Linked DNA regions of Saccharomyces cerevisiae S288C. The protein of the gene in region 2 binds, or shares a complex with, the protein of the main gene of each other region. Each region holds a gene or a part of one and is shown on either strand. Other genes may lie near its edges.

Evidence for each region. Proteins that work in one complex are often made in the same cells at the same time.
Region 1: MRPL24 (region 2) and MRPL25 share a complex: the UniProt entries of both Saccharomyces cerevisiae proteins name them as parts of the mitochondrial large ribosomal subunit.
Region 3: MRPL24 (region 2) and MRPL22 share a complex: the UniProt entries of both Saccharomyces cerevisiae proteins name them as parts of the mitochondrial large ribosomal subunit.

Annotation. Positions count from the first base shown.
Region 1 is NC_001139.9:636,531-639,263, reverse strand, and holds MRPL25 (mitochondrial 54S ribosomal protein mL59 MRPL25), read left to right. Parts: upstream 1-1,686; coding exon 1,687-2,160; downstream 2,161-2,733. Other genes in the region: PEX8 (Pex8p), read left to right, coding at 1-1,520; U4/U6-U5 snRNP complex subunit PRP38, read left to right, coding at 2,389-2,733. UniProt on the Saccharomyces cerevisiae protein: Component of the mitochondrial ribosome (mitoribosome), a dedicated translation machinery responsible for the synthesis of mitochondrial genome-encoded proteins, including at least some of the essential transmembrane subunits of the mitochondrial respiratory chain.
Region 2 is NC_001145.3:648,336-651,391, forward strand, and holds MRPL24 (mitochondrial 54S ribosomal protein bL28m MRPL24), read left to right. Parts: upstream 1-1,700; coding exon 1,701-2,477; downstream 2,478-3,056. Other genes in the region: GYL1 (Gyl1p), read left to right, coding at 1-945; 60S ribosomal protein eL36 RPL36A, read left to right, coding at 2,810-2,825. UniProt on the Saccharomyces cerevisiae protein: Component of the mitochondrial ribosome (mitoribosome), a dedicated translation machinery responsible for the synthesis of mitochondrial genome-encoded proteins, including at least some of the essential transmembrane subunits of the mitochondrial respiratory chain.
Region 3 is NC_001146.8:303,113-306,407, reverse strand, and holds MRPL22 (mitochondrial 54S ribosomal protein uL22m MRPL22), read left to right. Parts: upstream 1-1,792; coding exon 1,793-2,722; downstream 2,723-3,295. Other genes in the region: TDA7 (Tda7p), read left to right, coding at 1-1,338; 40S ribosomal protein uS3 RPS3, read right to left, coding at 3,006-3,295. UniProt on the Saccharomyces cerevisiae protein: Component of the mitochondrial ribosome (mitoribosome), a dedicated translation machinery responsible for the synthesis of mitochondrial genome-encoded proteins, including at least some of the essential transmembrane subunits of the mitochondrial respiratory chain.

The sequences.
Region 1 (2,733 bases), on a different chromosome or scaffold from region 2:
CCACGCTCCCAATTTCGAAGTTTTACTTGGTTTGGAATGCTGTTTTCGAATCTCACCGAGCCACGTGGAACCTTTCACAGTTGATGGTTTTGGATGGTGTACTAGTCACATACCCGAGCTTCAAACAATTGAACAACGCCTATTTTATTGATGAATCCAGCAACAAAACTGCGCTTTATTACAGAAACTGGAAATTACAACTGTTTTCACCAATATGGGCGCAGCTATGGAATACTGCCATTGTCAGGGCTAATTTATCGATTCAGCATTGCCTTCTGATAGCATTAGCTTTACTTTTTAATCAGTCAAACCGAAGCGCCCTTTTGCATGGAGTTGACGTATCATGGAATTTGGTCACAGAGAAACTATTGGACCTTTTGGAAGAGTATGTACACGGCATTGTGCAGCCGATGGAAATTTTTTCGACTGATTCAGTCTTATCAACCAACTTGAATCATTTGGCCAGTTGCTTGACCAGTTCAATCACGAGGTCAAATGAGGCAACTTTGGTAAATTCAGTACGCAAACTAGAAAGGATATGTCGATACTTGTCCGATACTGTGGCTTCGTTGAAAGAACAACAACTAGATTTCAAGTTCCAAAATGTATTTATCCTGATAATCCTCGCGTTAAAAGAATTATCCGCCATGAATATGACAATACTGCCTAACCATAAAGACACTTTTTATTCTATGATCTGTTTAAGCCTTTTCCACGTCCACGTATTGACTCAAAAAATCGGGACAGTCGGTTTTCCCAGTTACGATTATGTTTACGATAATTTAGTAACGTATTTCATTGTCATGGATGACTTGTCTAAAATCACTACAGTTTTGGAACTAATGAAAAGAAACAACACCAAACAAGATCCAAATAAATTAGTGTTTTACATCAATTTTCTAAACAAAATTACTAATTACTATGGGTGTCGCATTCGTTTGCCGTTTATTACTGAGTTTATCGAACCTTTACTGCATTTCGATGTATTTTTTAGCGGGAAGACGGGCAATACCTTGGATATTGAAATCAAAGAATCTATACACACATTGACAATCACTGTACTGTCTATAGACTCCTCTTATTCCTCACAGGTTGCACAATGGCAAGTATCCCGCATACTCGTCTATTTAAAGATGTCGATGGACCAATTTATTGCAGGTAAATTGTCCGCAAATCAAATTTTACTTATATTCGGCCATCTATCCACACAACTTCCCTCACTACATAATTATAACAAGCATTTGCTTAGGGACTCTTTGCACGAGACGTATATCAGAATTGTTAATGTAAAAAACCCAGAAAAGAAGAATGTATTGATTGAATGTCTGATTGTACAAATAGCCTTTATCAACAATCCTCATCATTTGATCGGCTGGTTGAACATCTGTCTCCAGCTAATCAATACACATAACAAAAAGCTACTTCAACAATTGTGGGAAATGGTTTCGAGTCTAGAATCCTCCCTAGCCATCGACTGGTGGTACACAACGGTCTTATCAAGTCAATCTTCTAAATTATAGTATCATTAAGTACTTTATAGTAGCGCCTTTTTATATTCCTTTTTTCTCAAACAAAAAAAAAAAATGACTGGGATACAAGTGAAAGTGGAAGAGCAAGTGAAATACGAAATAAAGTGAACCATTTATACAGAATAGGAAAACCAACTAGTGCATTAAACTAAACTCCATGTCATACAAACAGTATTTTGATAGTTTGCCTTTGAAATTGAAGTCCTTTTTCCAAAGATACCCCCCTTCAATCAAGTATTCTCCAGTGTCTACATCTACTAAAGCCATTAATGCCAATCCTTTCCTGCCAAATAAACATCCGGTCACACAACGATTTCATGATCCGAAATATTCACTTAGAAGAATGAGTGACGTATATAAGTTGGCACTGCGTTATGGAGTAGAAGAGTTTTTACCACCGATCGAAAACACTAAGAAACTTTTCTTCGAGGAGAAATACAATAAAAAGACCCTCATGAAAGGTGTTCTCTTGCCCAAGGGTCATAAGCATGAATTGAAATTAAACGAAAAGCTAAAAAAACGTGAAGAAGCTTTAAAGAAGGTAGATGAGTTGATTGCTTCCAAGAAGGGTTCGAAGTATGCCAAGAGAGTAGAAAAAATGAAAAAAAACCAAAGTATAGGCTGGTTCTGAAGAATAAGAGAGAAGATAACTATAGTTTAGAATAGTAAACCCTATGTGTACTGTTTTATGTTTTTAATGTCTAATCATGTAAATAATTTTGTGATATCAATAACGAACGTTCTGAACAAGAATTATGATAAAAAAAAGTAAAATCTAAAGCCATTACAACGCTATATTTTCAGTGGCAGTAAAAACGCAAGAACAAAAACAAAACGTGGGTAAAGAACAAGGACTACAATGGCTGTCAATGAATTTCAAGTGGAGTCTAACATCTCTCCAAAACAACTGAATAACCAGTCAGTGTCACTTGTTATTCCTCGGTTGACAAGAGATAAAATTCATAATTCAATGTACTATAAAGTAAATCTAAGCAACGAATCTTTGAGAGGCAATACAATGGTAGAGCTTTTGAAAGTTATGATTGGCGCATTTGGTACCATAAAAGGTCAAAATGGTCATTTACACATGATGGTTCTCGGTGGCATTGAGTTTAAATGCATCTTAATGAAGTTAATCGAAATCAGACCGAATTTCCAGCAGTTGAACTTCTTATTGAATGTAAAAAATGAGAACGGTTTTGAC
Region 2 (3,056 bases):
CTCTTGTTCTTACCAAGTGCTTCTGAGATCGATATTCTTTGCTATAAATTTGATAGACTTGTAGAAGAATTTTATCCTGAAATTCACAACCACATGGTTGAAAAAGGCGTCCGTTCTTCCATGTTTTTGCCCGGTTTCTTCACGACACTGTTTCAAAAGAAACTTCCCACTGAAATTCAACCACGTATCGGTGATATGGTATTTTTAGAAGGTATTGACTCTATTATGAGAATTTTAGCCACACTTTTATCTAATTCCCGAGACCATCTGTTAAAAATGGGTTTTGATGATATGCTGGAGCTATTGAAATCAGGTCTGTTAGATGCTTATATTAAGCAGAATGATGGTACACGCGGTGACACTCTTCTCTCAAATGAATGTATGGATAAATTACTACAAGACTCTATGATGAAAGTAGCAATAACCCCAAAGACTATGAAGAAATATTCTTCTGAATATGAGGAAATTCACAGATTGGACAATGAAAAAGAAGTGCAATATAAGTCTATCACGGAAAAAAATTTACATTTACAAAAGCATGTTCGTAAATTAGAAAACGACTACACATCTTTAAATAGAGAGCATGTGACAATTGCGAACGAGTTAGTGAAAAATCGGCTTAATATCGAGTCTGTATTAAATGAAAATAATGGTTACAAACTTCAAATTTTAGATTTGAAGAAAAAGTTGGATTCAGAAAAAAAGAAGCAAGTTTTAGGTGTATATGTGCCCAATGATTTAAAGAAAGATTTGGAAGAGACAATGAAAAAGAATACCCAAGTAATGGACGAAAATTTGAAATTGCAGGATAGGATTTCAGAACTAGAAAGGCTTATTGAAGAAATAAAAACTGCAAACAAAAATGGTACGTTATTCGAATATTCTAATTCTAAAAATAATCCTTTGGGAGCCGGCTGGTCAGGATTTAAAAAGGTTTTTAAATAGTTAAACTGTGTATATCAGCTACTGCTCCCCTTGAATGATACATGACTAAATATAATGATAAATTTATTTCTTGATTTTTGATTATTTCATATTTTGTTGACATTTGAGAGCTTCAATTGTATAAAGTTGCAAGATAATATATGAGGTTAGGGAAGCCGGATAAAGAAAATAGAGTACTTTAAAACTGTTCATGGACTAAGAATTCAGTGACGATGAAGTAGTAAAGGAGAGTGTTTAGGATATAAATAAGACCGAGAAATTGTTAGTAAGCATTACTTCTAGCAGAAATAATGAACCACAATCGTGACAATATATACTCGAGTTAGCAGTTAACAGTAACCCTTTCCATACCATTCTAAACTTTGCAACAGTAAATATCTTGGCGTTTAACGTTTTATTTTATTCTACGTTTCTCAAATATCGGCTGTACTCATGTGGCACATCATGAAAAGAGCCTTCATATCAAGAATTCAAGAATTTTAATTACATCGTGACAACGGTTTCCTAAACTTTTAGTAAAAACAATTAAATGTGCAATTTTGTTGATTATACTGTGGACAAATTGAGCTTAGTACGTTTCCTTCTTCTCTTTCTGCAATTATATTTAATTAAATAATCTCGTATTCTCGCATCCGGGCACGCTTTGTGAAATTCATTTGAGAAACCAAAAACAGCTGATCAGCTAGAGCTATTAGAAGTTAGTGCCCAGGGGTATAGAAAAATCAGTTTAAGGAAGAAAAAGCTCACAGAAGAATATGCAAAAAATTTTCAGACCATTCCAATTAACGAGAGGCTTTACCTCTTCCGTAAAAAACTTCAGGCAATGGAGACTGATTGAAACAAGGAAGATTGCCAAACAACCGAACTACCAAGTTGGTGATGCTAAACCTTTACATATGCCAAAAGAAAGAAAGAAATTTCCAGATTACAAGTATGGGGAATCTAATATCTTCAAACAGAGTAACAAAGGTCTATATGGTGGATCTTTCGTTCAGTTTGGTAACAATATTTCTGAAAGTAAAGCCAAAACGAGGAAGAAGTGGTTGCCAAATGTTGTCAAAAAAGGTCTCTGGAGTGAGACTCTGAACAGAAAAATCAGTATCAAAATGACCGCTAAAGTTTTAAAAACAATCAGTAAAGAAGGAGGGATTGACAACTATTTAACAAAGGAAAAATCTGCAAGAATAAAAGAATTAGGGCCGACCGGATGGAAGCTTCGTTATAGGGTTTTAAAAAGAAAAGATGAAATAGAGAATCCCCCACATAAGGATGCACCTATCATAGAAATGGCTGGTGGTAAAAAGGCCAAAATTTACTATGATGAAATAGTAAACGGCTCACCAAGAAAAATATCAGTTGGAAGAAGAAGATTGATGTCATTTTTATATCCTTTAGAGAAATTGGAATATAGGTCAGTAGGGAAGGACCTGAACTACAAAAAATTTGTCGAGTTATTTGCCGACGTTCCAGTCAAGGATATCCTAGCTAGATTAGAGGATCATAAATTCGACTTATCCACCATCACCGTATAAAAGGAAGAAATAAAGAAGATAATTGCCATTCCGAAAATATCGTTGGTTTTCCCCTGTATATAAAAAAGCATATCTGTTTGTACATATGTAGGTATGCACACATTCTGAACATTATTGATGCGTATATGCTTGCTACATTAATTGGCAATTCATTTTTTAGACTGTTTTACACCCGTACATTTCACAGTTTTTTTTTGAAGTTAAATTCCAACTGAATGGAAGCCTCCGCTCCTATGAAATTTATTTGAAATCAGAGATTTCAGGATGTTGAACAGTATAGTACTGATTTACAAGTATCAAAGAAACAAGAAAGACAGCAAACACAATAAGAAATGACCGTTAAGACAGGTATGTGAGACATAAACAAGGAACTGAACGGGTTATGACGATTTTCGAACTTATAAAGGGGTTTACCCCAAATACGAGAAGAACATGAGTGCATTGAAAACTTAAAAGGAAACAAAAACAAGAATATTATATAATTTTGAGTGATTAATGACCAATGGAAATAGCCAGAGGAAAAATACCATTTAATATGCATACACAGGCTTATCTCTTCACTCCTATCTAAAAAACTAT
Region 3 (3,295 bases), on a different chromosome or scaffold from region 2:
TTCGACAGCAGATCTTCTATTTTCTCACCATCAACACCCACCGTAATATCCCCTAGTTACACATACTTGTCTTCCATATCTGCAACTTCATTTCAAATTAGTACCACTTCAGAACTCTCTTCTAGTTGGTTCTCAACAATTTCTTCTCCTTCTACGATATCAAATAAAGATACCACATTCCCAAGTTCCAGTCGGAATACTTCCACATCGTTTTACAGTTCATCGCTTTCATCGACGAACGATTTTTCAACCATAAGCAAATCATCGAAACTCAGTCCATCAGCTTCATCTTCGACAGTTTCCATAAGCACGATTTCCGTGCCAACGTCAAGTTCTGTTAGCTCATCCAGCAGTAAAGTACCTTCAAACCGTCCTTCATCATCATCATCATCAGATGATACAACAAGTGCTTACTCAAGCACGTATACTTTTCAGTCCTTACAATCTACTACTAGCAGCAGTATACCACCCACCACTCAAACACCCAGCACTAGTACGATTTCTACGTCTCCCATACCAACATCCAGTCAGGTCTTCAATACGGTAGCCATTTCAAGCTCCGAAGATTCAAAAACTATTTATTATTTCTATACCCAAACATATGATATTACTGACTCCTCTACAACGTTCGTGACGGGATTACCTACGACCATAGCAGTTGCAAAAAGTGAGGTAACCTCATTTTCCGCTCCATCTTCGACGATCACAGCTGACATGTCTTTCTATCAGCACTGGCTTGATGGCAGTTTGGATAATAACAAAAACCAAGGCACTTCAAAGACAAATACTGGTACCATTGTTGGAAGTGTGGTAGGAAGCGTCGGTGGTATTCTTATATGTGTACTAGTAGTTTGGTTCATGCTGGTTAGAAAAAGGAAGGCAAAGAGGCATTTCAAGGAAAACGATTCCTTCTGTCACGAGATTGGGCGCAGAACGGGATTCCCAACAACTGCCCAAGCAAAAGAGGCGTCACTTCAAGCTCAAGACTCGGGATCACAGCAACGAAACACCGAGACTGCTTCTGCTAATAATCCGTTCAGCAACGAATTCAATTTTAAGGCAAGAGGAAATCCTCCTCCAGTGCCACCACCAAGGAATGTTACCGCAATGAATGGCTCCTTTCAAAATATGCGGAGTAATTTCATGGACCAGGAAAACAGATTTTCCTATGGCTCTTCATTTACATATTCGTCATTGGGTTCATCTACTCAAGGTGGCTTTTCTACTTTATCTTCAAATTCGATACGACTCGGACGTGGTTTAGATAATGACATCTCTCATGATGAGAGAAATACAGTTCAGAACAATTCACAAGGGTTCTTGAGGGAAATTATATGACGATGACTTCAGTCTATTAGTATGATGTTTACTAATTAAGCAAAATCAGCTCTTGCTGAATAACACTACTATTAAAAATCATAAAAACATCTTTATTGCCAATAGTGAAGAACGACAAGGCCTTTTAAAAGGCATAAAAAACAATGATACCATTCTGCAATGAAAAAAAAAGAAAACTTTGTTCTTTGTGTATAAAGAAAATATTTTAGTTCTCCTAAATAAATAAATACTAAATTATACGAAACTCTTTCAGTCTTTTCTCCTGCTTGCTGCTTGAACAGTACTCATGATATTCTATTAATCTTCTGTGGGCGGGGTAACTAAGCCTTCACTGTACTCGGGATTTTGAATAAAAGTCAACTATCCAATCTGGAAGGCATTTTAACATACGCCATTAGGAGCCGCATAGCAAGTCAGAGAACCTCACCTCACCCTATCTTTTTTATTAAAGAAAATGAACTTCCACACGGCAAGAATATCTCAGGTCGGTGTCATTTCTAGGGCTCTACTTTCTTCTGTAAGTAGACGTTGGATTCATGTAACGCCAATAAGTCTTAATAATTCAGGAGGATCACTATTCGGAAGCATTACAGAAAATAAACCAAAGGAAGGAAAAAACAGGGGGGATGAAGATGCAGGCAGCTTCTCTAATAGGTTAGCGATTGCTTCTGATTCTTCTGGAGAGGCTCCTGAAGTTAATAGGGATTCAATAACCATAGAAAACGATAAACTACTACAGCAACATATCATATCGTTGCAGCAACCGGAACAATTAGCATCACAGAGCTTATTATCTCCTTTGAAAAGGGAAATATATGAAGCTAATTGTAAAATTAATGGTGGGTTTTACAAGAAAGATACTATTGTAAAGTTACCAAATTCTAGCGAACGTTACAAGCTAAAGTTAACAAAAAGAGAAATTGAAGTACTAGAACCTTCCGTATATGCTCAGTCATATAGAATTAAATCGTCGATGAAAAAGGCTACACTTTTGTTGAGGTTATTGGGAGGCCTCGACGTTATGAAAGCTATATCTCAGTGTCACTTTTCTAATAAGAAAATTGCTCGCGAAGTAGCAGAACTACTTCAAAAAGGTGTAAAAGATGGCCAAAAATTAGGTTTGAAACCAGAGGACTTATATATCTCTCAGATTTGGACAGGGAGTGACGGGTTTTGGAGAAAACGTGTTGAATTCAAGGCAAGGACAAGAATCGGAATCATAAGTCATCCTTACATACATGTCAGATGTATTCTGAGAACAAAGAGTGTTACGAAACGAAGACTTGCTTATGAAGCACATTTAAAAGAGCAAAAAAGAGCGCCATGGGTACAGTTGGGAGATAAGCCCATTAGGGGTGTTACAGGCGGCGTATACAAGTGGTGAAAACGATAGCGAACTCATTCATATCCGAGAAATCGTCCTGTAAGCTGAGAAAGATGAACTGCTACTCACTTCTTAACCTATATTCACAGTTGTGTTGTACAAAACTTTTCTTTTGATTATATAATATTGTGATTCTGTAAATAACAACTAGTTTCAACGCACTGCTTCAACGTGCACCCTCCTGACTAAACACGGCAATATGCAAGAAACCGCAACAATTAAGTGCACTAGAATAGAAGAAATTATTGTACTTATAGTTTATTTATGTATTTAATAATTAAATCTAAGCTTCAACTGGTTCAGCTTGAGCTTCAGTTTCTTCAGCTGGTCTGTAGTCCTTGACAGATGGAGCAAGAATTGGTTCTTCTTCTTTTGGTTCAATGATGGTGACAGCATCTGGCAAAGCCTTTGGACCAGTTCTGCTCTTAGCTGGGTCTCTCATAATCTTAACCTTGATACCCAAAACACCTTGTCTCATCAAGACGTGTCTAGTAGCAGTGTCAATGAAGTCGTTGACTGGTTGACCAGAGTGAATCAAGAAACCGTCAGCAAATTTCATAGCCTTAGCTCTGG